4 linked regions of the Caenorhabditis elegans genome follow. The protein of the gene in region 4 interacts with the protein of the main gene of each other region in a pairwise test. Each region holds a gene or a part of one and is shown on either strand. Other genes may lie near its edges.

Region 1 (3,744 bases), on a different chromosome or scaffold from region 4:
TGGAATAACTTCGGAAATATAGTTTATGTGTTTGAAATGCTTTGATCGACGGGTAGAAAAACATTCAGTTTTATAAATTAGATAAAATAAGAAATTAGACGAACCAAGGAAAATCGGACGTGACAGGAACAAAGAAGGTATGTAGGCAGGCCAGATAAGAAGCAAGTTAGTGAACTGGCAGTAATGAGGTAGGAAAAATAAGCGTTTCCCAGGTCTGGTGTAGGCAGATTTTGAAATGTAAGAATTATTGTTTTCAAAATTATTTATCGAGATTTTTTGTTGTAAATCACAAATACATGTTTTGGTGTCACCAGAACGCTGCCGCTGCTGTTTTAGACCACAATAGGTGGGAGAAAGGTGGCAAACGCGACTGAATTTCGAGTATTTGTTGAATAATTGTGATATTTTTACAAAAGGTGGGGAGCAGGTGGCAAAAAGGTGGGCGGAAGGTGAGAAGACCTCAAAAGGTGGGAGAAAGGAGGCACTAAATGCCGAGCAAATACAAATCAATAATATCGCTTAAAATATGAGTTTATGCAGTGGTGATAATACTTTTTTAAACAAGCGTATATTTCCAAATATTCGTAACGATATAAATAAGAACAATCCCGAAAAAAAGAGAAATCGGTGAAAAATGTGATAGAGAAATATGGAGGGATGTGTGATAGAAACATGACTCGTATAGTAGAAACAGATAAGGAAAATAAAATTAGCAAAGAAAATATGAATTCACCAGGAAGCTGAGAGTTGAGACGAGATTCGTATGTGAGTAGATACCTAAGATTTGGGGTTTTTTTGGGGTTTGTGTGCGTGATTGGCTAAGTAGAACAGAAAATATATTGGTTCGAGTATATGAACCTGAGATATTCAAGTAAAGAAGTGATAAATTGTTTTAATTATAAATTTTGAGATTATGGATTCAAGATCTTAAGAATTACATCTCAACGTCAACCATCTCATCTTGTTGAGAAGGTGTAAGTATCGTAGTTGGGATGATTTGTGGAAAAGATGTTGGAATAGTTGGACTATTCAACAAGGAAGATTGTAGGAGAGATGCCAAGTATAATGACATTAATGGATTTGGCTGAAGGCTCAGCAGAGCTGATTGAATGTCTGGAAGGAAAGATGGAGTGACTGGAAGTGTTGGTGACAACAGAAGAGGTGATGATCCAAGTTGAGGAGTTGGTAGGGATGATGTAATAATCGATGCTTCTTCTTCAGGATCTGTCTGAATTCCGCTGTCTGATGAGGATTCGCTTCTGCACGGGGATAATGGAGATGCTGAAAAAAGGAATTTAAATCATGAAATTAAACTATTTAAAATTATGGTTTACCTTTCTCATAAGTTGGCATAACGTTGTAAATCATATCAACATGGGAGCATGGACCATTGGAATGAGCAAGTGCTCCTTGGACATCTTCAAATTTAGCGCCACATCGACAAACACATGGGGAGGTGTTGTGAAGATGGCTTACATGACTGTTCAATACAGATACTCTTTCATCTTCAAATGAGCACAATTGGCAACGATAGAACACTGTTCTCTTTTCAGAAATTATGCATCGATCAGAGTCTGAAGAACACGAAGAATCCATTGAACTGTTGGTGGCATCGAAGACTTTCGAACGGCTGTATTTGGAGACAACACGGATTCCATGAGTTTCTGAAATTATTGAGGTTGGAGAATACATTTTCAGGTATAGCAGAAGCTAATTGATTACATTTCAAAAATTGTTCTAAGCTGCCAAACTTCAAATCTGACAGAATTACAAAAGGTTTAAAGCGAATTCAAATACCTAAAGTAATAGAAAAGTAATATGAACTCACTTGCAACATGTCGAATAAGGTCAGCCTTCCACTTGCTGGTTCTGGAGCAATAACGACACTTGAATGGTCTTTCACTGGTATGAACTCTCTTATGACGAATCATCTCAGACACCCATTTTCCTTGGTAACCACAGGTAGAGCAGGTGCGTGTAGATACATCAGGATCCAATTCCATTTTTTTCATTTCAATCTCATCATCTGGTCCTTCAATTGCTTCTTGTTCACTTAGATATCTCTTTTCAAATGGTTGATCGTCGGCTTTGCGAGCAACAAGAGCATCAAGAGTGTTTGATGGATTGGCTACTTCACCACGTCGTCTTTTACGACGATGTTCTTTTTCAGGTGAGGAAAGAGTTGAGAGTAGAGTGGATACGTCAAGGGCAGTGAGCAACGATTCACAATTCATCTTAAATTTACGAAATTTAAAGAATGCAATTAAAAAGTGGAAATGTTATAGTAAGTTTAGAAATGTTATTTTTTCAGTTGTTAAGTTTGCAGATTCTAATATTGAACCGAGATCAAAAATAAGAAAGAGTAGACCACGAATGAGAAAAAGTAATGAAAAGAAGGTGTGGGAAAATTTGGAGAAAGAAAAAGTATCAATGTACTTGGAACTGGAGGAACATTCTGATATCTATTTTGTCTAGAAAGACGAGAGAATTGGAGATAAGAAGTGGAAAAAGTGAAAGTTGCTCCAAGATAAGGGAAGGGTCACCAGGAAGCAAGCGCCGATTCGGGAAGGAATGGATATGGCAAAATGCGGATGGGGCGCGCGGTACCTTTTCGCTCCTACCACAGTATGTTGACACAAGTTTTGTTGGGGGAAAAAGAGGAGGAGGCCGAAGGGTGGGAGGTCGTCGCATCAGCGAACTGTTCACTTCCGGGGCTGACTGACTTTCACAGCAACAGCAGTAGGAGGAAGAGGATACGTTTACTTTTTACAAAATATCAGCAACACACAACTCTTTCTTGCGCTCGGCCACAAGGTTTTGGTTGGACAAACAGTTCGGTCAGTGAACTCGTTTTGAGCCAAAGCGTACGTGAAGTTGGAGCATGACGTGGCCATATTGAGATCGGATGACCGTTGATGGGAGGAGAAAGAGTTTTGGGAAAGTTATTTGGTATTGGCTCACCTGCTCCCAGTTAGGCATAGTGCTGCAGAGGTACAGGCGCAAAGGCTACTGTAGGTGGATATAGGGGACGGCTAGAAAAATAGAAAAGGGACCGTGGAGATTTTCAAACCCAACTAGAGTATTCCGAGATATCTAGTGCTTACTGTAAGTGAATGCAAAAAAGAAGAGTATGATGTGTATTATGAAGGTTAATTATTGAGAGCGATCATCTTTCGAAAAAAAGTGCACTTTCCGAGCATGAAATTGCCAACTCGGATTTCTAGAGAATTTTTGAAATCCAGGGCAACAAGAACCATTCCAGAAAAGAACGTATTTGAAAAGACTGCAATAGTAATTCTAGACGTCTTGTGGGCTTTTACCAGGCACAGGTAAGTTAGCCCTAAAATGAATATGAACTTACAAAAGTAGCTAGGTGCTTTTTTCTTTTCAAATAAGTGTAAAAACTACGGTAGGCAGTTACTCAAAATATGACGTAGAGTTTAACATAAACCTTACAAATATCAACTCGGGTTTCTAGAGTACTTCAAGTATTTTTGAAATCTAGGGTAACTAGAACCAAAACATATTTGAACATAATTTCAAAGATGACCTTCTTCAACGTCTTCAATGCCTTCTTGTTCCTAATCGTCATCGTCTTCTTCTCTTTTTCAATTCAGGCACATGTTTGCTCAAGCACAGTTTGCGTAACCACCACCATCGCCGCGGCGTCTCCTGCAGCCATTCGGTTTTTTCTCGCGCCCTCAACTTCTTCGAGGAAATCCAAATAGGAACAACCTGGTACAG
Region 2 (4,365 bases), on a different chromosome or scaffold from region 4:
GTTTCCACTGGAACATTCCAAGTTGCTTCAGTATTTTGCTTTTTGGTTCTAGTATTTGGACTTCTGGATCTAGGCCTGAATGCCTTCTATTTTTATCGTAATTCAAAAAAGGCGCCAATTTATGACATTCCGCCACCGTCTGTTGCCGTCATCGAAACGGAAAAGTGGGTCAAGATTTGCATAAAATTAGGAAATATTTTATATTTCATGTCCTTTCAGAAGTATACATGACATTTACATGGAGTATCAACGAAAAGGGCAAACAAGTTCTGTTTAATGGAAAAGTAATCAAATAATTATCAATGCTCAACTTTAAATTCACTTTCTCATAATAATTTGTATATATGAAACATTAATAAAACAATTTTCTGATTCAGTTATATCATTCTGAAAAGTTTCCGTTTTCTGGCAAGCGACGGGTGGATTTTAAAAATCGTTTGCAGACTTTACTTTTTTTTGTTGTTTCACCTTTTTTTGTACAGGAAGCAAATCAAAAATAATAACACATTGGTTTTATTAGAAACAATTAATGAAACATTTAAAGTTAAAAAGTATTGCACATGAATGATTGGAAGTATTGCAGAAAGAGAGGAAGGGTTTTTTGAGAGCGAAAGACTTTGATTGGGGGGCATCTAGCGAGAAGACGAAGAAAATTGGCTTTCTATCCGTATTAGTCAAAAATAAGAAAATGGAATGGGATCAAGGGTGAAGGGCAGTAACAACTGATGCTCTTTGAGCCAAAACTGATTTGAAGTGGGCTATTTCTGCTTTTAGCGTTTCGATTTGGGTACGAAGATCTTCATTTTCACCTTCCAAGAGCTGAAAATGTTAAGTAATAATTGATTCAATAAATTTATATCTAAGTTTTAAAATTTTATGTTTTCTATTAAAATTAGTTTCAACTTACCTGAACTCGTCGTGACCTGTATTCGAATACTGCTCGTCTATTTGCTCTACATCTTTTTGCGGCTTCATTGTTCCTTCGACGTCTGTCCACATATTGGGGCTGAAAGTTTTTTTTTGAAATATTTGACATGTATTTAAAAATGTCTTCTTTCAATTCCTTTAAAAAAACTTACCGATTTGTTCGAATAATTTGAGTGATCTTCCGAAGAATGCGATGGAGAGAAAGATGCTGAAGACGATACACTTTCACAGTCTGATTTGTTTCCAGTATGTCTTGGAGGGGAATTTAGCCCCGAAATATGTTCCGTTCGGCTTTGTGGTACTGTAGGAGAAGGTCTTCGCTGTGAAAGAAGAGCAGATAGCAGGGATGGTCCTTGTTGAACAGCTTGGATTACTGGTTGAGGCGTACCTGATGGAGCAGGCTGACCGACTGAAATAAATTTTAGATTATAGTTTCAATTAATACTAGTGAAATGAAAATATGCTCTTTACTTTCAAAAACAACGACTTACTTTGTTGAATAACGCTAGATCCAGGCTGTAACTGAGGTTGAGGCATATTCACGTCAGTTGATGAATCTGGACTTCTTCGTTCAATTTTCACAATTACGCTACTCGATGGAAAACTCTGCTGAGCACTTTCTGATGGTCGAAAAGGATGAAATGCAGATGAAGACGATGAAGAGAATAAAGATGATGCTGACGTTGATGCAGGTTGTTGAGTGCTCGCATAGACCTACAAACATGGAAAAACGTTATGGGACATCTGTCTTTCTAGGTCACGCATTCAGCTGTCAATGTATTCATTAAATTGTTGACAATCTGAGTTGTGTTGCCAAAAAATGACAATGGAACTTTATATGCGGTTCAGACGTTTTTGTAATAGTAAATATTTTTCCACGAGTTAATTTATTTTATTTAAATCATCACAATTTCGATATTTCCAAGTTCAATAAAATAACTTACCGGTGACTGAATAGTTGTTGGCTGTAGTTGACAAAGCTGCAACATTGATGGAATATGCGAAGCTGCCTGGAGCAATGGAACAGTAAGCATTGAACTCGCTTGCAAAGATGCTATTGGACCCGCTGGGAAAAGATTCTTTGCAACTTGGGGAATAATCAGAGATGTTGGAGGCTCTGTTACTGATGGTTGTGGAATTGGTGTCGTTCCTAACTGAGATTTTAACCGTTCGTTTTCGGCGGAAAGTAACATTATTTTTTCTTCCATTGCTAGATCGTTTTGCCTTCGCTTTTCTCGACTTCTTCTTGATGCATCGTTATTTCTCCGTCGCCTTTCCCAGTAATGTTCATCTTTTATTACACTTTCGTTTACGGAATTTCTGGAAAAATAGTTATCAATGTCGAAAAGTATTTAAACTTTCAAAAGTTTCATCAAACTGTTAAAAATTCAAACCTTCTAGATTCCGGGGGAGATCCTTCTGAAAAGTTCGACGAATCCGACGAGCTCGATGAGAACTCGGCGGATGCCGAACAAACCACCGAAAGTCTGGAGGACGGTGACAATGATGCCGAGTCGACGTCCATCTGAAAAATAAAAATAAGATGATTAAAAGTCAAACAAAAGAAGAAAATCAAGAATATAGAAGTACGAAATTTGAAAGAAAAGAACATCGGTGAAAGAAATATGAATACCAAAATCTTTCAAAATGAATTAAGACACAACATTTATATTTTGACTTCAAAATGTTAGTACACATGGTGTATTGAAATGGAAAGTTAGTAGAGTTAAAAGAAGCTGTCAACCTATTTGATGTAAGGACAAATACGTCTTTTTGAGTTGAAATTGACACGATCTTTGGAGATTCAGCACAATCAGAAGTTCAATGTGTTCACTGTTTCCAGATATTATTAATTAATTGTAAGCCATTTTAATTGACCAATGTGTATACAAAAATTATTCAGTTTTTGGTTTCAGTGAAGATGATCTTACGCAATGCTAATCCCTGAGTATCTAGACAACCAGAAAATCACTAACTTAAAAAAAGGTGAGAAAACAAAGTATATCTGGTACAGGTGTGTTCATATGGTAGGTGTAGAGTGCAGTTAGCAACAATTAAGCGGTGTTGTGCCTCTCCTCAGTTGACCTATTTGCGCCTTGCAAACCAGTTAGCCATGGTCAATGTTTCGGACAATGCTTGGTAGATCCTCTCACTCTCAGTCTCTACAATAAACCAGTCGAAGAACAGGATATCCCCTCCGACTTTCGCCCCCTTCTCTCTTCATTGCAGTCCCTTCTCTTTTTCTTCGACCCGTCTCCTAATCATTTTTCATCGTTCGCAACGACTTCAACGCGTCGCCTCCTCCGATCCATGATGATGCCGACTTTTCCTAATTGTTTTCACTTTCCTTTCGCTTTCATGCTTAACTTTCGCTGCTTCGGGTTACGGATGTATGTGTGTCTAAGTGTGAGAAGGAGGAGGAGGTCAATGGTTGAATTCGTCGCATCAGGTCACTAGTACAAAAGGGTAGGTGAACTTTGCGGAGAATTGGAAGACAAGAGGATGAAGCTACTGGGTGGAAAGTGAATAATGAGATACGGCTAAAAGATAAAGTTGAAAAAGATAACGAAGAAAAAATTGGTAGGTTTAGATAAACAAAAGTCTTGAAAAATTCATAAACGCACTCTAGGTCAGGACTGTAAAATATGACCAATGTGAGTGCAAGCCTGATAGAGAAATTTTGGTTATTTTTCACTGCTGAACACAAAAAATGATACTCAATTCTGAAAGTAATTGTTCAAGAAACTCGGAAACGATACAAGCAAATGTATTCAAAATGAAAAAAATGCGTTGAACTAGATGAACAAATTCGCGAAATCGGGCTGGACTTGTTTGTTTTTGATTGTGCACCTTGAAAAAGAGTGGCGAGAGCCAAAATAACCGCCGCCCGTGTTGGGGGACAATCGTCAGCGAAAAGAGAGAGCTATTTTTGTTTGTTTGTAAGGCTCGGAGAATGACGAGAAGTGAATCACAAACAGTGTCCACTATCCTCCCGCACCGCTTCCAAAACTTTTTTGTCTGCAAACCAGAACAGCCAAATTCACTGCATCATTTGATGATTTTGATGACCAGTGAGTGTGTGCCTGTCCCTTGCTGTGTCTACTTCAGTAGTTTTACATGGAGAGCGGATAATACGGTTAGGTAGAGTAACAGAGTGAGAGTGCACTTTTGGTAGTTGATTGCGAAAGTGAGGTGTTGAAATGATGGTATTCTTGTTGGGAACTGAAAGATCGCAGTTCGATACGAGAAAGAGAGAGTGGCTAGCACGATCATATCGTTCGGGAACGAGTCGGTGAAAGTATGCAGGCTATGGGAAGGAAAGTGAATGAAATTGGAAAAAGAGGAGAGAAAATTGAAATTCAATTTTAGATAAAGGTATCTTTACTTGAATCTAGGATTGTCAAGAAGAACTGTTATTTTCTTAGAACTTTTAAATTG
Region 3 (4,745 bases), on a different chromosome or scaffold from region 4:
ACCCAACTGCCGGAGCTTATGTGTTCGAAATAATTCAGAACCCATTCCCCACTGCCTTCACATGCTTACAATTTATTGAGATTTTCTCCCCAATTCTAGCACATTTTTTTTCCAAATTCTTTACTTCCACTTCATCTCACCTAGCTTCTCCTGGAAACCTTACGTCATTCCTCTAGTCTGTATCTCTTATTCTTCTATACTTTCTCATCTTCTCCGGTTTGACCTAGTCTTTGCGTATTGACACTTTCGTCTTATTCCCTTCAATCCATTGCCGTCCGTCTTCATCTTTTTTCCGTCTTAGCCGTCTTGGTGACGATGGATAATTAGCGGAAAGGATAGGTGTATTGACAGTTTGACCTTGTATAGTTCATAGTCACGGGTTGCAACATTTCGGTGCCACGTCATTAGGCTTATTACAAGTGCCTAGTTTTAATCTAATGTTTATGGTCTCTTTTTGGGATATGGGAACCAAGTAAACTGAAATTTGCACGGCTTTTTCATTTGTTAAATCTAGAAAAAAGTCCCTAAAGATGTGCCTTTTTTGCAAACACTCCCCCGCGATTAAACTTTAAACCTACTTAGTTTTCTTATGCAAAATCCATCATTAAACCTTTTTTGCTTCACTTTCTTAGAAACAACTTGTCCGACGATTTTGAAGTACAAACCATAAACTTTCTTCGAAGGATTTTCTTTGGATTTTAAAAACAGGTCTCTCAAAAAAGATTAGAAGATTATGCTTTAAGATTTGCCCAGATGATCAAACAATGGCTGATGAAATTTTTAAATCTAGCTGTTTTAACCATTTCATAAATTTCAAAACAAGAGACTATGTCAAAACTTGAATACACTAATAATAGTCCAACATGACCAGCATTTTTTAGAGTTTTCTAAAAACTCCAGAGATTGTCTTTTTAGAGTCTCCTAAAATAAGTGAATACTGACAAATTGCCATTTATTGGCTACTCAACGTTCACACTAAGTTCTTCTTTTTTCTACGAAAGAGTTCAAAATTAAAAAACGTCTTCTAAATAATGGAGCAAAGAGTCACAGTTTGGAAAAGCCTCCAAACAAGTTATTCTTGGAAACTGTTGCCCCAAAAATTCTGTAAATATATTAGGTACGCGAAACCAGGCAATAATGTTGAAAGATAATACTACGATTGCTGATTTCAAGCTCCTCCGATTTACTTTTAAAATTTGAAGCTTCTCACACACACGTTCTCATAAAATTCCCGTGCTCCTGCTGCTCCAAAACATTGAATGCAATGATTCATTCGTTATCTGAGTTAATCTACCGTATCCTTGCAGCACATTCTATTTTAGAAATTCAAGTCATTCTTGTAAAATGATCTGGATTTGGGATTACATGACATACACTAAAAAGAGAATGGATCATTCTTACCGTCAGCGTCATTGATCTGGATGCCTGTAGTTAAGCTTTTTTTATTACTTTTTGCATCTTTCTTCTTCCTCCTCCGTCATCATAATGGCCTTTTGCCTGCACACATTGAAAAGTGCCTATGTGCTCAAAATGCTATGAGCTCACACATCTTTTCTTTCATTCGATTTTCAGATTTTTTACTTCCTCATTTTATCTGCCTTTGTATTGTTTCATGTGTCTTCATGTTTCATGATTCAGCTCAAAATCATGCATCTTGAAATGGATATGAAGCTGGAAGACGATAAAATTCATTCACCCACAAATACAGAGGAGGAAGGTTACGGTAGTGACGTGGAGGTTGAGAATGGAACTGATATCAGTGGATCCAAAGGTGGAAGTGGTGTTGAGTTAAAACGACCCGATTTAAAAGGTTTGTAAGTTCTGGGAATTGTTATTAGTCCACCAAATCTGATTAGGTTCTTACTTTTATAATGATTCTGAATTTCAGGTTCGTTCCGTTGCTCAATCTGTTCAAAAGTTTTCTGTCATTCTTCAAGTCTCTCCCGCCACCGTATGCAGGCTCACTTCAAAAGCTACAAATGCACAGTATGCCGAAAAGATATCTCAAGTAAGTCGGAAGTTATTTATTTTTTATTGACAATGAGGTGATCTTCCGAGCATTAAGAAAAATCCTCAATCACAGATTTTTCGAAATTGAAAGAAAGATAATCATGACATTTGATACAAGAATGAGCTGCACATTTGAGCTGAAAAGCTGCTGGAGACAAAAATATGAAATAGAATGAAAACTTGTTCGATCAGGGACTCAGAGAGCTTTTGCTACAAAAATGTATTAAGCTCCAGTACATCTTTTGATTTGATCTCCTCATTTCCCGGGTTTAGCAGGGATACTGTAGAACATTTTGCAGAGCAAAATTGTGCAGTGCAAAACCACTGCTATATTTTAAAGCATCCACCTATAATATTTGAACAAGCATATTGTTTACACCTGAATTGTTTATCACATGAAACACCGCAAGAAACTCGTTTTTATTGTTGTTCGGGTATAAGCATCTGTATGAACAATTATTGTTTACTATCCATCCACTCTCCGGAGAAAGATTCCTCTTGATCTCATTCAATTTTCACTGTTTCTTCATTCTCCGGACGATTGAGGTCATCCGGAGAAATACGAAATAGTGGAGACGCAGACGCAAACACAGTTCTCACTTTTCGAGAACGGGGACAATTGAATGAGGTTGCGCAATGGATGAGAGTGGGGGCAGAAGGGAAAAAAGTGGAGGATTGGAGCGAAATTGTAAGGGGTCAAATAATGGCTTTGGGATAAGTAGACAAACTTTATAGGAGTACTGTATTTGAATTGGGGACTTTGAATAATAATAAAAAACTATTGTAATTTGCAGGTAGTGAATCTCTTCGTACTCATATGTTCAAGCAACATCATATCTCTCGAATGTACATGTGCCGTTGCTGTAATTGGGCTTTTCCTGATAAATCACTTCTTCATATTCATCTACAAACTGCCACTAACAACAATGACAGCAACAACAATAATAATAGTGTCATTCCTCATGGAGTTATCAACAGAAGCTGCCACCTCATTACAGATCCATTCCAGTGTAAGACTATCAGATATGAGATGAACATAAAAAGATTATTGATTTCAGTAATCCGTACTCCACTTCTAAATCTACCAACCCCACAATCCCTTGAATCATCAGTACCTTCTCTTCCAATTGCAAGCATCCCAATCCCTGCTCTTCAATCGCCTATTCGATCTCAACCTCAGACACCTTCATGGCTTGCAAATCTTCCAAAACCCATACCTAGTAAGTTACATACAAAATATTTGTAATGCTTATGATAATATTTCAGCTACGGCACCAATATTTGTAGCAGATTCAAAAGAAAAAATAAAAGATGAAGTGGAGAAGCCCGATGTGTATACTTCACAGTCACCAACTTGCTCATCAGTCAGCTTCAAGTCTGATCTTAGTGCATTCCATCAGTTGTGTTCTGATCGTGCTCTTATATCATCTCCATTGATTGATACAGCTTCACCATCCTCATCATCTTCTTCTTCAAGGATCAGTCCACGTCATGAATGCTTCGACTGCCACGTCAGCAGGACAAAGATATTGATTTCTGAAAATAAATGCAAACTGTTGGAACACAAAATTGGTACGATGCAACAAGAAAGTTTAGAAGCAAATGCCCAAATGAATGGATTGGAACAAACTGTGCTCAGATTGAGAATGGAAGCACACGCGCTCCGTGAGCACAATGAGCTATTCCAAAGGAAATTGTTAGAGTGTCAGGTAAGATTTCAGATCAGAAAGAAGTATTTCAAAATTATTTTTTCAGAATCTTGCCGTGAAATTTCTTCAAAATGACAAAGCTCACGACGCCTCGGAAATGAATTCATTTCTTCGAATTCTCATAAATAACACAATTTTGACACGTCCTTTTTAGAATTATCTTTTTTCCAAATTTCTCTGAAACCTCAAACTTCGCAAGCTTTACTATCATGTTAATATTGTTTCATTTTTGGAGATTTCTCATAATTTTCGCAATATTTTTTACCAATCTCAGAACTATATTTTTTAACTTATTTCTTCCTGTTTGCGGGATTTTTTGCTTTTTATTTCCAAAACAAATATTAAACAAACAAATCAAAATCATCCGATCCGTTGTGTTCCTTCTGTGTCTCCATCTCCATAATTCTCAGTGCTTACGTTGAATATACATAATTGTAATATAATAATAATACATACTTGATATAAATTTAAATGCTGTATTCTACGTTTCTTCCAGGAAATAACTGAAACTGATCAGAGAAAGTCAAGAAAGTAAAAAAACAGTATAGAAAGTTGAATAATGTGTGTTCCAGAATTTTTGGTACTCTTTCAAAAAAAATTTTTTTTGAAAAATACATTTACAAAAGACGTAAACGGATTTCTTATCCAGAATAAACAAATAACTAAATAAATCCTCTGCCAAATATCCATGGTAACTGAAATCTGAGAAAGCTCATTTCTTAGCTCTTTAATTCCAACAAAAAATCGATGTCCATTTTCACTTAAAGCGACCCAAAAATACCAAATTTAGTCATGAGCCTCTACCAATATCCTGAGCTCTGTTTTTTTTAATGTTAAACTCTGTTTCAGCTAAATTCTCAAATTTCGCAAAGTCAGTTTTCATCAAATTATTATTTTTCATAGCAATTTTGTCATTATTTTGTGGGTTGTTTCGTTGATGTGCTGATAGGTGCTCACATTGAACATTGTCATTGCTGTCAAAATTTGACCATTTCAGGAAAAAAAAACTTGACGAATTTGGAGCAT
Region 4 (4,447 bases):
GAAGAGAACATGAAATCAAAGTTTTCAAATATGTGTTACTGCCTCCTTTAGCTATACATCCGTATTTTAACTTTGATATACTTTAAAACTCATGTTCATTCAAAAAAATCGAATATCAGATACAGACAATTATAATAGAACATAGAAATATGAACTAAATGAAAACAATACTGTACTCACTTATTATAGTCTAAAATGACAGGATAACGTAGTAAAACACACTAAAATTTTGTAGAAAAAGTAAAAAAATTTATAGTGAAAGCTTTGGTAAATTGCCAAGTTTCAAATACGAAAAATTGAAACGTAAATTGAACATAAAAACATAATAATTAATTTCTAATTTTTTATTTTTTTCGTTAATAATTTCTTCCAATTTTTGACCTCTGAAGAGTGAAAACATATGAAATTTAAAAGTGTGGTTGTAATAGGAAAGTTTATTTAGAGTACGGTATATCAAAGTTAAGAATAAAGATGTATAACTGAATGAGACCAATACCACAGTTGTGAAAAATATACCAATTTACCAAAACTCTTTTTGCGATTCATATATTCTAGCTATGTTTCAAATATTTTTATTTGAAGATTGCAGTAGCTTAAATCTGAAATGCTCAACATTTTCAAAACGTCCACATTTTTGGAACATTTGGCAATTTACCAAAAACTTCTACTGACAACTTTGAAAGATCTGATTTTTTTTGAGTTATTTTGTTTAGAAAAATTTTTCACTGGCGATACTCTGCCAACAGTTTTCAAATTGAAGATCATCTAAAATTCCATAAGGAATTTCACATCCTTTCAAAAAACCTATTTAAATAGTTTTGAGAAGTTTTAAATAATTTATTTTGCCAACAAACAAACTTGAGCAGAAATTAAAAGGAAAAAATTAAGAAAATATTATTTTAAAAAAACGCATTACGGTTTGCCTCCGTGTAATTTCTAAATTACAAGTCCTAATGATGTCATAATTTATCCTCATTCCTAGTCTAGCTTTTCCAATTGCCAAAACATCACTTTTATTTCTCGATTGTTCTCTACTAACATTGAAACATCGAATCCCGGATTATGCATTGTTGTGTCTGACCGAATTCATGACTAATAATCATCGCATAACATATGATACGGAAAGCTTCAAGAACTTGTTCCTCTTCTCGAATTTAGATAATTGACTATTGAACGTCTGTCCTTTCAACGCAAGACAAACACATGATTTTTTGATGATGTTAGTTTTAACAACATATTATTATTCAAAGCATTCATAGTACTTATACAAAAATACTTAAAATAATGTGTTCCAATTATGCGGTTGGCAGGCAGGCATTCTTACAGACATACATGCCTACCATCAAAATCAAAATTGAAACTGAACTACAGAAGGCGTGTCTACCATCTTCTATTGCTCAAATATTTTTGGAAGAAGTTGTAATAGTTTTCAAGACAGTTTCAATCATTTTTTTCGTCAAATAAAAAGACACTTTATATGTATGTGCCATCTACGGTAGTAGCGAAAGCTGGGAAAGTTAGCTAAATGGAAACGTGTTTTCAATCTTCGGGAACGCTCTGAGCAACTTGCTAGAGTTTGCAAGAGTTGGTTTAGAATTGGCTGAAGTATGTACGTAAAGTTACTAGTATTTTATTCAACTAAACAGTTTATTAAAACAATTTACAATACTGTATTCCTTTCCCAAGCAAATACAACCAAATCTCTATACATGGAAAGTTCACAGTTCATTCGAACTTTCTAGAGTTTCCCCTTCATCATCATCATCCCGCATCCCTCCCTCGAACAATTAGCTGTGTTGGTCAGTATGTCCGTCGTTTTCAGTCAAAATCCGACCGCTTCCTTTCAACGCAACTTTCACTCGTTCCGACTCGTACCAACACAACATTGCATAATTCTCCGTATGCCTGGGACGAATGGACGGATCGCCTCTGGTCACCCCCTCTTCGGACCGTCCGACCGATGACCCCTTTTGCGGGAGGGCGCGCGCGCAACGGGAAGCAGTGAAATCAAGAGAATTAGGTCAGTGAGAGGACGACTTTCATTTTCGAATTTCATACTTTCTCTCTTCCCACACACACACTTATACACCGGACTTTCTCTCTTTGAAAGCGCAACAAATCTGAAATTACATATGGCTTCATGTCATGAACCATCTGCTTTTAAGAGCCTATGTGCTCATCCTTCAACTTTAACTGCAACATTTGACGTATCACCCTACTCTTCAGCTTTTCATCTTCCTATTCATCCAGCATTACTTTCAAATACACATTTACTACATCTCAATACCTATAATGTAAGTCTATGCAAGTAATAGTAAATCAGCATATACATACATACATTTGGTATTTCTAAATATTTTATGAAACTTTAGGCTATTTTATTTTCCAACTGATACAAACCTGCCAGAATAAATAAAAACATACCGTATTATCCCAATTAGACTAGAACCCCATTATTCCACTTTGGCAGCAAATATTTTGGTTCGTATTAAACATCAATAAGTAATTTATTAAGAAACAATAGGAAAAATAAACAAAATCTATATAGTCAGTTGCCAAATTTTTTTCTACATTAAATTTTGAAAATTGGCCTCCCAGATATAAAATATCAAATTCGAGGAAAAGGAAGTTTCATTAATAGCTGAAATACGGTATTAGGAATTTAAATGATACAAATTTTAGTCAAAATGAATAAACATGAACAGGTGAGGTATAAACTATTATATTTTCAGCCAACAACCTACGAATCAACTGAACGGCTCTTTGAGCAAAACAATAACAATAGTGAAAAGGCAGAGGTAAGTTGAGCCTCAGATTCTTGAACTATGATGTTACAAGCTTCTTTATTTTTCAGTCATGCTCATCGCGAGACAGTAGTCATGATTCATCATCCCCGACATCAACTGGAGGAAGCAGTCGGGATAACGTCATTGTCAGAAATGAATTGAAACGGAAAAAGGTAAATCTAAAAAAAATCATACATACACATAACAATAGAGTTTCCCTGGTAGGCAGCAGGCGCACGGGGAACTTCAGGCGCACGGGGATGCCTGCAGCCAGTTCTGCATTTGGCGTGAACTCTGGTATTTTGGTATTTGGATAGTGAAAATTTGGTAGTTTCTCTTCTTAATTGATTTGCTGAAAGTCCAATTGAAAACTGAAAAGAGCCAGACAGACACTTCTGTGTAACATCTCCAAAAGTTATGTTTTTATTCACTCCCAAATTATGACTAAATCTAGAAGATGCCTTAAACATTATTCTTATTTTAAATTTTAAATAATTCTTAGTTCCCATCCCAGAAATATACCATTTTGAGTAAAAATTGAAACAAATTTATTTTCAGGATCAAGTGAAAGATGTAGCATATTGGGAACGACGACGAAAGAATAATGATGCTGCGAAACGAAGTCGTGATCAAAGAAGAATGAAAGAAGATGAAATGGCTCATAGAGCAACAAGTCTAGAACGTGAAAATATGTTGCTCCGTGTAGAATTAGATCAACTGAGAGCAGAAACTGATAAGCTAAGAGCACTGATTTTGACGACACCTACAACGTCTATTAGTGTAAGTTAATTGATATCCAATCAAAATATAAGTGGTTCTTCAAAATTCAAATTTCCAGATTCCAATTCCTCTACAATCTTTACCACTTCTCACTGCACAAACGGCTCCAGCTTCATCAGTGATAACTACAAGTCAGATGTATGCACCTCTTCCATTAAAAATTCCAAAGACTCCTTCACCATCTCTTCTTCGGAGTACAGTGCTAGTCAGCAACTCTTCTAAAACTTGATCATTTTTGAAATATTACTCTGAAATTATGCATTCATGTTTGTAATTATTGATTAGTTGAGCCAGTACTCGTAAAACTCGAAAAGATATCTGTGATTTGCAAAGCTAACCGATGTAATAAACGTTCATTCACATTTTTGTTCAAAAGGTTCTGCATTTAAAGTACAAAAAATTATGATTCAATAAGAAATTGTGACCGAAAAAACATATCAGAAAAAACTAAATTTGAACAGCCGCCGAAAAGACACCAAATGGACTAGGAAACCGGGACGTGGCCTAGCGTTCCGCGAGTTGTGTGGATTTACGAATAATTTATTGCGTTCTCAATTTGAATGATTTTCCTTGTTTTCAGTTGTTTTTCCAATTGGTTTTTCATTTTTCTTGTTAAAATTAAATAAAAATATTCACAAGAATCAAGATAAATTTTCAGATGGCCACACAACAAGCGAAAATATTGTGTTGTGGTGATGTGAATGGAAATTTTGTAGAACTCATCAAGAAAATATCAACAACCGAAAAAAAGGCATGTTTTATCGATTTTTGGGATTCATTCAATTATTTTTTTTTCTTTAGAATGGCCCATTCGATTCACTATTTTGTGTTGGCGAGTTTTTCGGCGACGATGACGATTCAAATGAGAAAGTTATCAATGG

The links.
Region 1: the proteins of atf-8 (region 4) and ztf-2 interact in a two-hybrid assay, tested with the Caenorhabditis elegans proteins (one large-scale study listed by BioGRID).
Region 2: the proteins of atf-8 (region 4) and atf-2 come close enough for resonance energy transfer, tested with the Caenorhabditis elegans proteins (one large-scale study listed by BioGRID).
Region 3: the proteins of atf-8 (region 4) and ztf-30 interact in a two-hybrid assay, tested with the Caenorhabditis elegans proteins (one large-scale study listed by BioGRID).

The regions. Positions count from the first base shown.
Region 1 is NC_003279.8:7,289,762-7,293,505, reverse strand, and holds ztf-2 (Zinc finger protein ztf-2), read right to left. Parts: upstream 2,235-3,744; coding exon 1,829-2,234; intron 1,665-1,828; coding exon 1,335-1,664; intron 1,282-1,334; coding exon 935-1,281; 3' UTR 554-934; downstream 1-553. UniProt on the Caenorhabditis elegans protein: Transcription factor. Represses gene expression, probably via binding to DNA consensus sequence 5'-[AT][CT]TTCC[AC][AG]-3' in promoter regions. May play a role in pharynx morphogenesis.
Region 2 is NC_003280.10:8,750,073-8,754,437, reverse strand, and holds atf-2 (Transcription factor atf-2), read right to left. Parts: upstream 2,453-4,365; coding exon 2,322-2,452; intron 2,248-2,321; coding exon 1,872-2,247; intron 1,642-1,871; coding exon 1,419-1,641; intron 1,337-1,418; coding exon 1,080-1,336; intron 1,007-1,079; coding exon 908-1,006; intron 820-907; coding exon 700-819; 3' UTR 505-699; downstream 1-504. Other genes in the region: K08F8.7 (MARVEL domain-containing protein), read left to right, coding at 1-164, 220-277. UniProt on the Caenorhabditis elegans protein: Acts as a transcription factor that recognizes and binds to the sequence 5'-[GA]TTA[CT]GTAA[CT]-3', a sequence present in many promoters.
Region 3 is NC_003281.10:8,594,764-8,599,508, reverse strand, and holds ztf-30 (Zinc finger transcription factor family protein 30), read left to right. Parts: upstream 1-1,638; 5' UTR 1,639-1,665; coding exon 1,666-1,810; intron 1,811-1,888; coding exon 1,889-2,008; intron 2,009-2,804; coding exon 2,805-3,020; intron 3,021-3,068; coding exon 3,069-3,230; intron 3,231-3,276; coding exon 3,277-3,719; intron 3,720-3,765; coding exon 3,766-3,873; 3' UTR 3,874-4,199; downstream 4,200-4,745.
Region 4 is NC_003283.11:6,103,604-6,108,050, forward strand, and holds atf-8 (BZIP domain-containing protein), read left to right. Parts: upstream 1-2,003; 5' UTR 2,004-2,132; coding exon 2,133-2,294; intron 2,295-2,732; coding exon 2,733-2,798; intron 2,799-2,854; coding exon 2,855-2,959; intron 2,960-3,344; coding exon 3,345-3,566; intron 3,567-3,624; coding exon 3,625-3,795; 3' UTR 3,796-3,927; downstream 3,928-4,447. Other genes in the region: cwf-19L1 (CWF19-like protein 1 homolog), read left to right, coding at 4,225-4,317, 4,368-4,447.